Linked DNA regions of Yarrowia lipolytica. The protein of the gene in region 2 interacts with the protein of the main gene of each other region in a biochemical or structural test. Links are inferred from orthologs where the notes say so. Each region holds a gene or a part of one and is shown on either strand. Other genes may lie near its edges.

Evidence for each region.
Region 1: the proteins of YALI1_E05599g (region 2) and YALI1_C01416g form a complex in vitro, tested with the Saccharomyces cerevisiae proteins (2 studies listed by BioGRID). The link is inferred for Yarrowia lipolytica from reciprocal best matches to the Saccharomyces cerevisiae genes PEX4 and PEX10.

What each region holds. Positions count from the first base shown.
Region 1 is NC_090772.1:138,120-145,060, forward strand, and holds YALI1_C01416g (uncharacterized protein), read right to left. Parts: upstream 3,560-6,941; coding exon 2,426-3,559; downstream 1-2,425. Other genes in the region: YALI1_C01393g (uncharacterized protein), read left to right, coding at 1,222-1,806; YALI1_C01433g (uncharacterized protein), read left to right, coding at 5,216-6,941. UniProt on the Saccharomyces cerevisiae protein: E3 ubiquitin-protein ligase component of a retrotranslocation channel required for peroxisome organization by mediating export of the PEX5 receptor from peroxisomes to the cytosol, thereby promoting PEX5 recycling.
Region 2 is NC_090774.1:556,969-562,918, reverse strand, and holds YALI1_E05599g (uncharacterized protein), read left to right. Parts: upstream 1-2,953; coding exon 2,954-3,601; downstream 3,602-5,950. Other genes in the region: YALI1_E05630g (uncharacterized protein), read left to right, coding at 1-1,453; YALI1_E05602g (uncharacterized protein), read right to left, coding at 1,583-2,719; YALI1_E05584g (uncharacterized protein), read right to left, coding at 3,741-4,493; YALI1_E05576g (uncharacterized protein), read left to right, coding at 5,265-5,950. UniProt on the Saccharomyces cerevisiae protein: Catalyzes the covalent attachment of ubiquitin to other proteins. Essential for peroxisome biogenesis. Required for UBC4-independent ubiquitination of PEX5.

The sequences.
Region 1 (6,941 bases), on a different chromosome or scaffold from region 2:
GGTCTGAGGAGAACCGGGGGGTTTGGTGAGTGCAATGTCAACTATACCCTAGCATTTAGTGAGTTTATTAGTTGAAGCCGAGTAATGGTTTTGAATCCAGTTAACACTGAGCATTACGTAATCTTCAGTATGAGAGCTCCAATTACGAAAATAACGAAACTTTTGTACTGCAATTATGGCACGAAGAACACGAATATATGCTTAGTTTTTCTCTCAGAGTCGCCAAAGAGGAGTTGCGGCGAAGTCAAGCTGCAGAATCACACCTGAAAACAGGTTTCTGGTTTCAAACCAAGTCCCAGTATTGCACCCAGCTCAATTCCAACACTAAAGAATCCAGATCAACGTCCACAATAAGACCAACTCGGATCCAGATTTTTACCATCTTACTAATCCGGCTTTTCTTAACAAAATGCACTTTTTTGATTTCTTCTCTGACATCTCGTTCGAGAGATGGTCCTAGGTAATTAGAGACTACGTAATTAGCTGCGTGAGACTAAGTGATACCAAGTAATTTACTACACGAGACTAAGTAATTTCCTTAAATGATCCAAGTAATTAGTTGAAATGTGACCAACATCCACAGTGATCTTCACAGTGTGCGCTACAGAAATCGACACTTGTCTCCAACAGTAATTACTTTTAATGCCCGACCTCGAAGATACATGAACCTGAAACAACACATGACCCGACAATAGACTCCGCCCTGGCGCTCACTTTCAGTTGCTTCGAAAAGACATGCCCAACCAGACTGAGCCAAACCAAACTGAGCCAAACCAAACTGAGCCAAACCAAACATCGAGAGCCCGCCATGACTCCCGAAAAATACACCGGCAGCCGATATCGTAGAGTCACGTGACCGACACAAACGCCCCGACAGTGCCTGACTGGCTTGGTGGTCCGACGACACTCGTCTTCTTCTCCGCTTCTGTACTGCCCCCTTTGCTCATGTCGCTGTGCGCCGATCTGCTTGGCCTGCATATTTCGAGGTGGGCGCGCGGTTAACTAAAATTACGACCCGAAGTGGGGCGTTATAAAGGGGGTTAAATGGGGAGTTTTCTGGAGAAAAATCCAATCAAATTACCCTCCCAGCTTCCAGCTTCTCCCTGATATGTCCATATTGTCAATACGACCCTTGTAGCTGTCGTTATCACAGCCGTTAGTGCCTTCAGATTAAGTGCCCCTCCAAACTCTATGCAGCTCGGTGCAGGTGGTACCTGAAATATGCCGTTAGTAACTATTAGTGAGGCTTCGGGAGTGGTTGTCTCGGTTGTCTCATTCAGACTCGTTGTGTTGTATCTATATCTATATAAACACTCTTGTCCCTCAATCCCACTGCCATCTTTTGCTAAACTTGCCGCCAATATGAAACTCATCTCCCTCATCACCGTCGCTACCACCGCTCTGGCGGCTGTCGGAGACAAGTACAAGCTGACCTATACCAGATCAGACGCCCAATCGGTCGAATCTCTGCCCGTCACCTACCAAGATGACCTGATCACCGCCTCCACCGACGGCGAACCCATCACCATCACCGAGGGCGAGGGCAACACCTTCTCTGTTAACGACATGCCCATCGCCTATCTGGAGCTGCAGGCTTTGTTCTGGACCGGCGACTACGGCTACAAGCTCCAGGGCTCGGTCTTTGACATTGCCGCCGATGGAACCTTTGAGCTGAGAGACGGCCCCAAGGAGTACTACTATTGCACTCCTCACCCTGAGCGAAACGTCATCTACGTCATCAACAGCCCCGACTACTCCAAGTGTCGGTTCAAGCGTACCATCAAGTTCCACGCTGAAAAGATCTAAGTGGTAATCGACCGACTAACCATTTTTAGCTGACAAACACTTGCTAACTCCTATAACGAATGAATGACTAACTTGGCATATTGTTACCAAGTATTACTTGGGATATAGTTGAGTGTAACCATTGCTAAGAATCCAAACTGGAGCTTCTAAAGGTCTGGGAGTCGCCGTATGTGTTCATATCGAAATCAAAGAAATCATAATCGCAACAGAATTCAAAATCAAGCAGATTAATATCCATTATTGTACTCGGATCGTGACATATCTGATATGATCTCGGATATGATCTCTGACTGTTTACTGGGAGATTTGTTGAAGATTTGTTGAGGTTATCTGAAAAGTAGACAATAGAGACAAAATGACGATATCAAGAACTGAATCGGGCCGAAATACTCGGTATCATTCCCTTCAGCAGTAACTGTATTGCTCTATCAATGCGACGAGATACCTCCACAATTAATACTGTATACGCTCTACCACTCATATCTCCAATGCTAAAATATATTCATGCCCAGGACCTCTGTGCACTGCTATGCAGCACAGTGTTGTCGATTGAATTGGTCGTGTCTGGTCCCTGATGCTCTGTGTCTCGCTGACTAGTCCTTCCATCCAGACCTCGTCATTATCTGATAGGCAACAAGTTCTGCTCTCTCACACCCTGCCGACACAAGGGACACTCGGGCTTCTCTCTCACCCATTCGGAAATACAGTCCCAACAGAAAAAGTGTCCACATGGCGTACATGCCGGCGCACTAATGTATGACAGACACAGAGTGCACGCTCTGGACGCCTCAGGAATGAACTTGAGCTGTCGAGGGTCCTCCAGATCGATCTTGTCTTCCGTCTCCCCTTCTGTATCCTCAATGAACGGAATTGACGACTTCTTTTTCGGCACAACCGCTTCCTTTTCATCTTCCTTCTCCCCTGCCTCTTTCTCCACGCTCTTTTCCAGCAGCGCTCCGAGGTACTCTCTTCCCGTCTGCACAAATGACGTGGCAAACCGGGCGAAAATCAGCAGACCGAGCATCTCGTAACCGATTCGAGGCTCATTCTTGTCCAGTCGGTGTCCAAATACATAACGCATGCCCCAGATCCGCTTACTGAGCTGGTAGTACGAGCCGTAGACGTAGAAAATCGCCAAGTGGATCGCGGTAAACCCCTCCAGCGCCGTGAACTTGTCAAACTTGTTCACAAACGTCTTGATGACCCGCTCCTTCCATGTTTCCGGGCTGGGCACAGGCTCATCTTCGTCGTACTCCACCAGATGGGGATACTCGCGCATCAGTTTGGCGCGCAACTTGCCCATGTAGCGCACAAACAGGTATGGAAACAGAGTGTTGGAAAGCACGTAGCCAAACCGTCTCACCACCCCCGGTAGAGCTGTTCGGTCTCTGATAGTGTACATGAGATTGGTGTACTCTTCTCCGAGAGTCTTGGAGCCCACAAGCGTACACAAACCGAGATATGCAAACTTGGACGCCGTCTCCAGCTCCTCCTTGTACTGGTGGATAAATCGTACTCCCTTCCATTTCTGCAGAAACGTGACGAGATGCTGTTCAAGCACGGACTCAAAGTAGTGGTCTTTCTGGTTGGCTCGGATGATTTCTGCGGCCCCAGCGTAAGGCAGGCGTTCCGTCCGGATCGGTTTGGGTCGGATCGGCTTTTTGATTGTCGTATTGTCGCTCATGTTGGACCTGGTGTGTAGTTGTAGTGTCAGATCAGATTCACCAGCGAATGCATGTGAACTTCCCCACATTTTGAGCCGAGGCAGATTTGGGTTGCTTAGTAAGCAGACGTGGCGTTGCAAGTAGATGTGGCAAATGGGGACGAAGATTCCGAGGGGATATCATAGTTCCAAGGGGATGTCATCATTTGCCAGCTTTCGCCGCCACTTTTGACGAGTTTTTGTGGGTCAAATAAGTTTAGTTGAACTTTTCAAATTTCAGTTGGCATTTTGTTAATAGAAAGGGTGCCGGTGCTGGGGGGTTCATTCCTCGGGTTGCAGATATCCTATCTGTCTTAGGGGTATCTCTTTCAATCGACAAGATGTAGTTGGGTAACAATTATTTATTAATATTCTCTCCATCCAGTACAGTACTAACATCTTGACATCTCAGCACAAGTGCATCTTCCCAAGTGTTTGTTGGAGAGGTTGTTGGGTATTACTTAGGAAACAGAACACAGTACGTGGAGATCTTGGATACATCGTACATGGAGGTTATCCATAAAAAAGACCCTCCAGGACTAGTTACAATGCCGTTAGATGAGGAAATCCACAACCCTGATTCACTATGAACATATTATCTTCCCCCAAACTTGCGATATATGGCCCTTGATGATAGCCTTGATTTTACCCTTGATGGTACCTCCACGACCAACCGATCTGCTGTTTGAAGAGATATTTTCAAATTTGAAGTGCTCAGATCTACTAAACATGAGTCCAGTAATTCTTTCCGTCTTTCCGATTTCCGATATTCCCTTTTTTAGCCCGACTTTTCACTGCTCCCATGTCAAACGATTAGGACTTGGGAGACAATCCCACTGTCAAAATCACCCCGATATTCTCTGTAAAACAAGTACTTCTTCCACGTGATCTTCAAATACCTCTTCCACGTGACCTTCAAATACCTCTTCAAGTACCTCTTCCACGCGACCTTCAAAGTCCCTTCAAATACCCTTCTCAATTCTCCCCTTCTCCTCCATAGTCCTTCTCTCTGACTAAGCTTGAGAATACATGACGCTAAGACGAAAACACACTAGAGACCCTGAGAGCCTGAACATGCATCCACTCTGCAGTTGCGCACGTGCCTACAGCAACTATCGGGTCCAGTGCTGGATCTGACACTGCGTCTCCCTATGAAGAAACTGATAAACAGATCTGCACTCATAACAATGATCTGAGCGATGAAAACGTGACCTCCACAGCCACAAGTCATAATCTGAGAAATACCAATCCCGGAAATACCTCAAGTTTGGCCCAATATCAGCTTCAAAACACTTTGCTCGCCAAATTTCACACCCCCTCGATTGATTCACAATATCTATAATTAGCAGACAGCAGACAGCTGAAATTATGGAGCTTATTAATGACAAAAGCAAGGACAGACTGACGTCGCCACAGCGGACGGAGATGAGGGTTCACGTGACCAGAAACGAAGGACGTGTTGCGTCTCTCGATCAGGGGTCACGTGAACATCCGATTTATCACGTGGCAACCCCTATTTTGCCCTATTTTGCCCTATTTTGCCCCTCGAACCCTCGACCTTCTCCTGACTAAGCATCCACCCCCACTATCCTCTACCACCCCTTAAACTTCGCATTCATGCATGCACTCTCCGTATCAACATCATCAACCATCTCTCCCTCTCTCTCTCTCTCTCTGAACACTTGACACTTGAACACAACAACCCACATGTCAGCTATACGCCGCAAACCCGTGGGAGACCCGCTCACGACGACGCGACGACACTCGCGGGTCAAGTCGGGAATCTCCAGGGTAACCGAAAAGTCACTGTTCGACCAGGTGCTCAAGGTGTGTGTCTTGTCATACCGATGCGAACCGCGATTCCGAGGGGGAGGCAAACGGCAGTCGCGTGACTTGGCGTCTCTGGGGGTGTCGGATCCCACTCCGTCGTTCGGCGACCAAAAGTTGCCCAAGGAGGCCCCCAAGCTGCTGCAGCAGAAGCTTAACAAGCTGGCTCTTAACCAGGGTTCTAGCGACATCACTGACCCGCTGGTTCGGCGGTGTTTCCTCGCATTTTACGCTCTACTTTTGGATCCAGACTTTTCCCGTCGAATCAAAGAAAACAGACGGGCTGAAGACGTGGTCATGTTCTTCATTTCCTCGTCCACGAAGGAGTTGGCCAAAAGCGGCTCACAGCCAGCAGAAACTAAACGACTGGTCAATTACTTCACCGCCACCTTTGTCAAATTTCTGATTGCCACCCTGCGAGAAGCAGGATTCGAATCGTCCTGTGCTTCTCTTATTCGACAACTACAGAGCTACGAATCAAAGCTGGTTAATGATACGGGCAACCTGGGAGAGTCAAACGGAAGCGCATCTTACTCGGCGGGACTGACACCAACGTTTGACGTGGCAGATATTCATCTGGCCAAATCGCTGGGTCCGTACTTTCTCATGAGTGACAGTCTTATTCAGAAAGGTGTCTCTGAAATCAAAGATACAGCCACTGAGCAGGCAGCAGAGGCAGATCTTCGACTAGCACTGGACCAACTCAAACAAGACAGATTCCCATATTACCAAAGACAGTATTTTGGTTCTGACGACGCGTATCAGGATTACAAGAATCGAGCTATAGAAGCTGTTCAGACACAGCTGGCAGGGTATGGAGCCCAGTCGTCAACCCAGAGCACCACTTACTACTACATTCCCGAAGATCCGCGTGCCTACGGGCGATTACTGGTCAAAATCTGTCTTTCCCACGACCTCAAGTCCAAAAGTGATACTCTACTGAGCAAAAACTCGATCGCCATTCTCACGGAATGCTTTAATCTGTGGCAAATTCCATCCAGTACACGAGCCGCGCTTGTTATGGACGTTTGTCAAGAACTGCTCAAGTTGAAGGAGCTTCCCATCTCCCTCATCGAGGACTCGGTGTCTTTCATTTCACACGTAGGCCGGGAGAACGGCAAACGAGAGTGGGACACGTCTCTGTGGCCGGTCTGCGACAGAGAAGTGTACGTGTTGGGGCTCAAGGAGGTGCTTGTGTTCGTCATTGACCTCATTTCAGGCTGCATTAAGTCAATCTACGAACAGAAACCACCCTCCATTGGTCCCTATCTGCAGATTCTCGGCGAGTGTGTCTTTTGCTCGTCCGAATGGGACAGGGTCGAGATGATAGTCGATATGCCCAAGGTATTCGACAATCTGAGTCTAGTGGTCAAGAGTGTGGCCGAGCATAAATACGACGAGTTCATCGACGCCATTCCACGTGACCATACACTGGATCCTCTGCATATCATCGAGTTGGCGGACCGAATCATCTCTTCCGCTGAGAGGCTGCAGAAACGATATAAACGGCCGCTTTTAGAGCACGTTCCCATTGCTCTGATTGCAGCCAAGACACATTTTTCGCTGTTTTCTGTTGATTCGCAGTCCATGTTCACCCATCTGATGA
Region 2 (5,950 bases):
AAAGGCCCTGCCACCGGCCAAGAGCAAGGCCACGCTACGACCCAAGTCCACCGAACCTGTTCCTGTTGCTGCCAATCCTCTCATCACCGCCTTTGAGGTCGACTTCAGCAATGACGGTCCTGTTGCTGACTTCCAATGGGACATTGAAACCATTGAGAAATCTCGGGTAGTCTTTCCTTTGGCTCCCGAGGCTTGGGAGACTACCTTTGCTGCTGTCCACGAGTCCGACACTACACAGACCACGCAACCCCCCTCGGAAGATGATACCACTCTGGAGATTACCGAGGAGAAAGTCGCGACCAAGATTGTCCCTCAGAAGTTCATTCCCGGATGGATGATGGTCGGTGATACCGGTGATTCCACAGATGTTGATCAGTCAGTCGACCCACCTCAATGTTTCGATTGGGTTGACTTGTTTTTCGAACCCAAGAGTGCAACAGAGTACGACCCACGGAACTTTTCCAGCCACTTCCAGGAGACTCTCAAGGTGTCGCAGGAGCTTTATACCCCCGGGTCTGTGGTGAATCCCATCACTGAGGGCTACGTCATATCTGGCAAGTCCACCCATGCCTTCTTCAATCCCATAACCGGCGCCATGACTCCTTGGATCCACCAGCCAGCACCTCGTGCGTCGAAGGACAAATCGACTAACACAACTCTGCGCACCATTCCAAACACAGACTGCTTGAATGTGGGCGATCCCAGCTACTGGTGGAATGTCAGAATTTGCTCGAATTACTTCCACCTCGGTGAGGCATCTAGCAACAGAGTCGTTGCTGCTCTTTTCAGCACCAGCTACAAGGCTTCTCTCTCAGGACCCACAGAGATTTGCATCATTCGTTGCTTTCAGCCCTACGTGAAAGAAGCGTCTTACGCTTCACAATTCTACACATTTCTACCTCAGAAAAACGAGAAGTACGCACTGGCACTGGCTGGAAGTCCAACTTCGAATCTCTTTTTGGTGGAGTCATACAAGGAAGATGTTCACTACATTTACCTCCTGACCAGCTCTCTAAATTCCCCCCTGCCTCATTATAAGCTTGTTCTGTCAGTCAGCCATATTTCTCGAACGCAGAAGAATGGCAATTTGAGAGGAAAACAGTGGTGGCATCACCGCATTCTAACTTTTGGAGACAACCTGGTCATATTCAAAGAGGGTAGGCTCGCATCGTGGAGAATAATCTACGATTGCTCTACTGATTCAGTCAAGGCTTACTTGATCCCCGAAAAGTATGGGTTCGTTGCCGACGTACACCCTGTTCAGTTTGGCAAACACCTGGTCTTCTCCAGAGGTGTGCTAGACATGTCTACCTTTCAATTCTGCACGGTACCCGTGGGCCAGAATGATCGAAAGAAGATTGTCTGGCACAAGAGAAACGGCGTTTTGGTTGGGTCCACTGTAAACAGCCTCTCGTTCCAGTGCTTCTACCTCGGAGATCCCTCTGAGGTCTAGCTACCCCGGTCACCTATATTTATTTTGCTTATTCGCCATATCATCTAATCATTACCTCATCCTGTATTGTATCGTAGTTTATATGCCTATCTATTGTATAATTTCGTGCCAATGGAAGCTGGGGATTGCCTAATCAAAAGGCAAAACACCGGAACCACGCAGTTTGCGCAGATCTCCAGGTTTCTGGCTCATCTCAGAGGCTGCAATGGCACTGGGCACCTTGATTCCACAACAGTCAGCCCAATGGTTGTGAATGTGCTGCACTTCAGCATTGGGATCAGGAGGAGGTGACACCCCCTCAGGAGCCTTGATCAGCTGACCGAACATGAAATGCTGGAGAATGGGGAGCTTGCTCAGAACCTCAGCGTCGTACATCTTAACCATACCCTGGTTCACCTTGGCCCAGGTCTTGACTCCGGAGATGTCATCCAGCATGGGGGAATGCCATCTCAGAGAAGCAGTGGTCTTGACACTGTTGATGAAGTGGATGCAACCCATGTACAGATACTCATGCTTCCACATATCCAACATCTCCATGTCGTGGATGGATAACGGCCGCAGGTACTTGTGGCATGCAAGCTGGGCAGATCCAAACATGAAGGGTAGGAAGTGGTAGTCATCGAGACCCCAGACACCATGAGAGCCTGCAGGCTCCAGCCAATAGCTTGCTTGAACAGCACGCATGGTCTTAAGATACTGGACAAACACCGTCAAAACTGCTGCAGAGGAATCAGTCTCATCTTCCACACACTTGGCATTCTTGGCCTCTCCTGTTGGATCGTGCACCTCAGGATTGTACTCTGGCACATCAAGCAGACCCAGCTGCCTCAGACAGAAGAGGAAACAGATAAAGTTGAGCTCGTGGCCAGATCCGAAATCAATTCGCGTTCGGTCACCAAAAGAGGCAGCGAAATATGTACAGAGCTCCACGAGCTGCCAGTCCTCCAACTCTCCCAAATCCGAGATCCAGTCCTTGGCGTTCTCCTCCAGAGCCTGATGGAAATCTCTGAACTCAGGTTTTCCGAACCGTGACGACGTAGCATCTTCAGGCGGATACTTGGCGACAAGATCAATCACCTTGTCGAGAATGGCCACCAATTTGCCAATGATTGGGTGCTTCAGCGTCTCGTATGAGTTGCCCTTGCCCACCACATAGTAGTTGAGCACCTTCACGAACCCAAACACTTGCTTTTTTGTGTCACTGGCGCCAAATATTTCCAGATCTTTGGGCGACAGAATTCGCCGTACCGGGTGTGAGTGTGACATGTTGATAAAATTGTGCGCTGTGTTGAAGTGGTACTGTAGTGCTGTCTAAGTATCGCGATGCCGATTATTCTGTGTGGTTATGCAAGGTAAAAACCTTACTCCAACGCCCCCCAGGACGACCGTTGATATTAAGCTACAGTGCGTGTAAGGTTGGACCCCAACCCCCGTGACACAGCACTTTTCTCCTCCCAACTGACGCATGTGATATATTACTGTACCTATGGCTTGCATCGCATGAAATCTCTACCTCGGATCTCCACCGTCAACGTCTGGTTTTTCGTCGCAACCTCTCTGAGCTATCTCGTTACCGCCGCATTTCTGTTATTTGTCTTCTGCGTCACATTTGTGTCTCTTAAGCTCGCTCTTGCCGCCCTAGCCATCGCCCTAACATCTACTCAAGCACAATCATACGCTCTGAAAATGGCCTCCCAGAAACGACTCATCAAGGAGCTGGCAGCATACAAGAAAGACCCCAATCCTTGCCTAGCATCGCTCACAGCCGACGGCGATAATCTCTACAAATGGACTGCCGTCATGAGAGGAACCGAGGGCACTGCATATGAAAACGGTCTCTGGCAGGTGGAAATCAACATCCCCGAAAACTACCCGCTACAGCCACCGACCATGTTTTTCCGAACGAAAATCTGCCACCCAAACATCCACTTTGAAACCGGAGAGGTGTGCATTGACGTTCTCAAGACGCAGTGGTCCCCAGCATGGACCATCTCTTCTGCATGCACCGCAGTGTCGGCCATGCTATCTCTGCCAGAACCAGATTCGCCTCTTAACATTGACGCAGCCAATCTCGTGCGATGTGGCGACGAAAGCGCCATGGAAGGTCTGGTTCGATATTACGTCAACAAGTATGCATCGGGAAACTAGAGTAGTTGGTACAAAACGTCGTAATAAATCAATAAGTTATATGAGTTAGTGGGAACTGGACTCTAATGTTCCCAGTATGATATAGCGGGGTTCATTCTAGAATATAAGTGAGACACAAAATCGGCGCTCAAAAAAGCGTTCAGTAGGAGTCATCCTCCTCTTCTTCTGGCTCCTGCTTCCGCTGCTGCTGCCGCTTGAAGTCAACCTTCATCTTGACGTCCCAAAACTTTCGGGTAACGTCACTGAGAGGCCGGAAGGGCACCATCTGCTGGAGCATTTCCTGGGGAATGAGGTCCATGTCTGAGTGCGTCTGCTGTCGCAGCACAGACTTGAGCCACAGCGAATTTTCGGCCTTGGGAACCTGTCGCTGGTTTCGGAACTTGTACACCTTGCTGGGGATCTCTCTCTTTCGGTCGTCCAGGCTCAGCAGCAGAGGCTGCATGTGTGAGGCGAGCGCCTTGTGGAGGAAAATCTCGTTCATGGACTCTCCGGTGTGTTCCTTGACGGTGAAGGGGTGTGGCTGGATGCCGAGAATGCGGGTGGGGGACGAAGTGTTGCCACTCTGGTGTCGCGAGAAGTTTGGGGTGAAGTGGCTACGACTGAACATGTAAGGGTTGTTCTCGTATGGAGGAGCTGGTGCCGAGGGGGCAGGCGAAGATGCAGCGGTGGATGTAGTGGATGTGGATGTAGCAGTTGTGGAGGCGGTCTTGGGCTGTGGAGCTTTATTAGCTGCCTCGGGTTTGGCGTCGGCCTTGACCTCGTCTTCTTCGCCCTTCTTCACGGGCTGGGGAGCCACGTTGGAGGCGGGAGATGGTGACTTGGATGACTTGTGTCTTATGATGAGTCGGCAGGGAGCCACACTGAGTCTGGTAGCGGTTGTGGGTCGGTACATGATGGCTGTGGTGGGTGGCTGGATAAAGCCGCAACTCTGGATGTAGGGCGGATAAAAAGGATTGTCACGTGACGAGTTATGCTAGGGGAGTGTCCTGCTGGTTTCCGTGCTTCAAAAGAACCGCGTTTGGACGTCTTTTGATGTAGGGATGTGTGGTTGGTGTAGAAAGTGGAGGTCCGGTTGAGAGGATGAGGCGATTGTAGGTGACCCGAAGTTTAATCAAAGGAACATCCAGTATCGGGAGCAAGAATGTGAAGAATGTTTTGGGGGATGTGGTGTAATTCAAGAGGTGGCGACGATCGGGACATGTTCGGTCGAACGTGGGATCAAGATCGGACCAGCTAAATACCATCGTCATTGCCATATATACCCCGCTGGTGTCATTTCCGCACTCATGCCGAGTCGGCTTATCATGTCATTCACGTGATGCGCACTACATACTATCAAAGTTTGAAGACGTGGACAGGTTCTCACCCAAGAGAAATAGGCTTACGTACAGAGTTGGTGTTTTTTCTCTAAGGCACAGACCTGCACAGACAGACTCACAAACAGTCCAACACATAGTAAATACACTGTCAACAACCTCATACTTGTACAGAGTTGGGTGTCAAGAATAGAGTACAAGTAATAACTAAGGGGTCCTTACTTTTTGCGGGGCGGAAATTTTTGCACGTAAAATTCATTAAATTGATGGGGCGTGATATGAAGAGCTCCTGCTTACAGAGAAAATGAAAATAGTCACCACGCGTGCAGAGAGGTTTCCCACTTGGTATGGTTGCCCCACCAACTGCACGTGACTCGCCACAGTGTGTAATTTTCCGGGTAACTTTTCAAACAAATCTAGCTTTGCAACTAAGACGTGGTTTTCATAAAATTCACAACATCAACCAAATGGAAGACCAAATCGAACAGGCGGTAGATATCGCGATCCAAGGCGTCGGCGACCCGGCCGTGCGACAGCAGGCCCTGGATTTCTGCAACCAGGTCAAGGCGTCTGACGAAGGTTGGCAGATGTGCTTGGCGATGTTTGCTGGAGACCGGAAGCGAAGTGATGCTGCGCGATACTTTAGTCTTCAGGTGATTGATGAGGCTCTGGGTCGGCTCAACCGTGAGCAGCTTGTCTATGTGCGTGATCACCTTTTTGCATACGTGAGAATGGGCAGTGGACTCAGCCAGGGACAGGCCAACGTCAATGTCGGCCAGGCCGTCAGCTTTGCTGATGATCCAGTCCACATGAAGAACAAGCTGGGTGAAACCCTGGCCTATCTGTTCATTATGACCTACACGGAAATTTGGGACACCTTCTTTTACGACTTTGAGCGGCTACTGGAGAGCCCCGAGAACCAGTTTGGCAACCCGCGTGCGGCGGATCTGTACCTACGCGTACTGAACGATATCCACCGAGAGATTGGAGACACGCTGATTATTCGAGATCCTGCGGTTCAGTCGCGCAACAA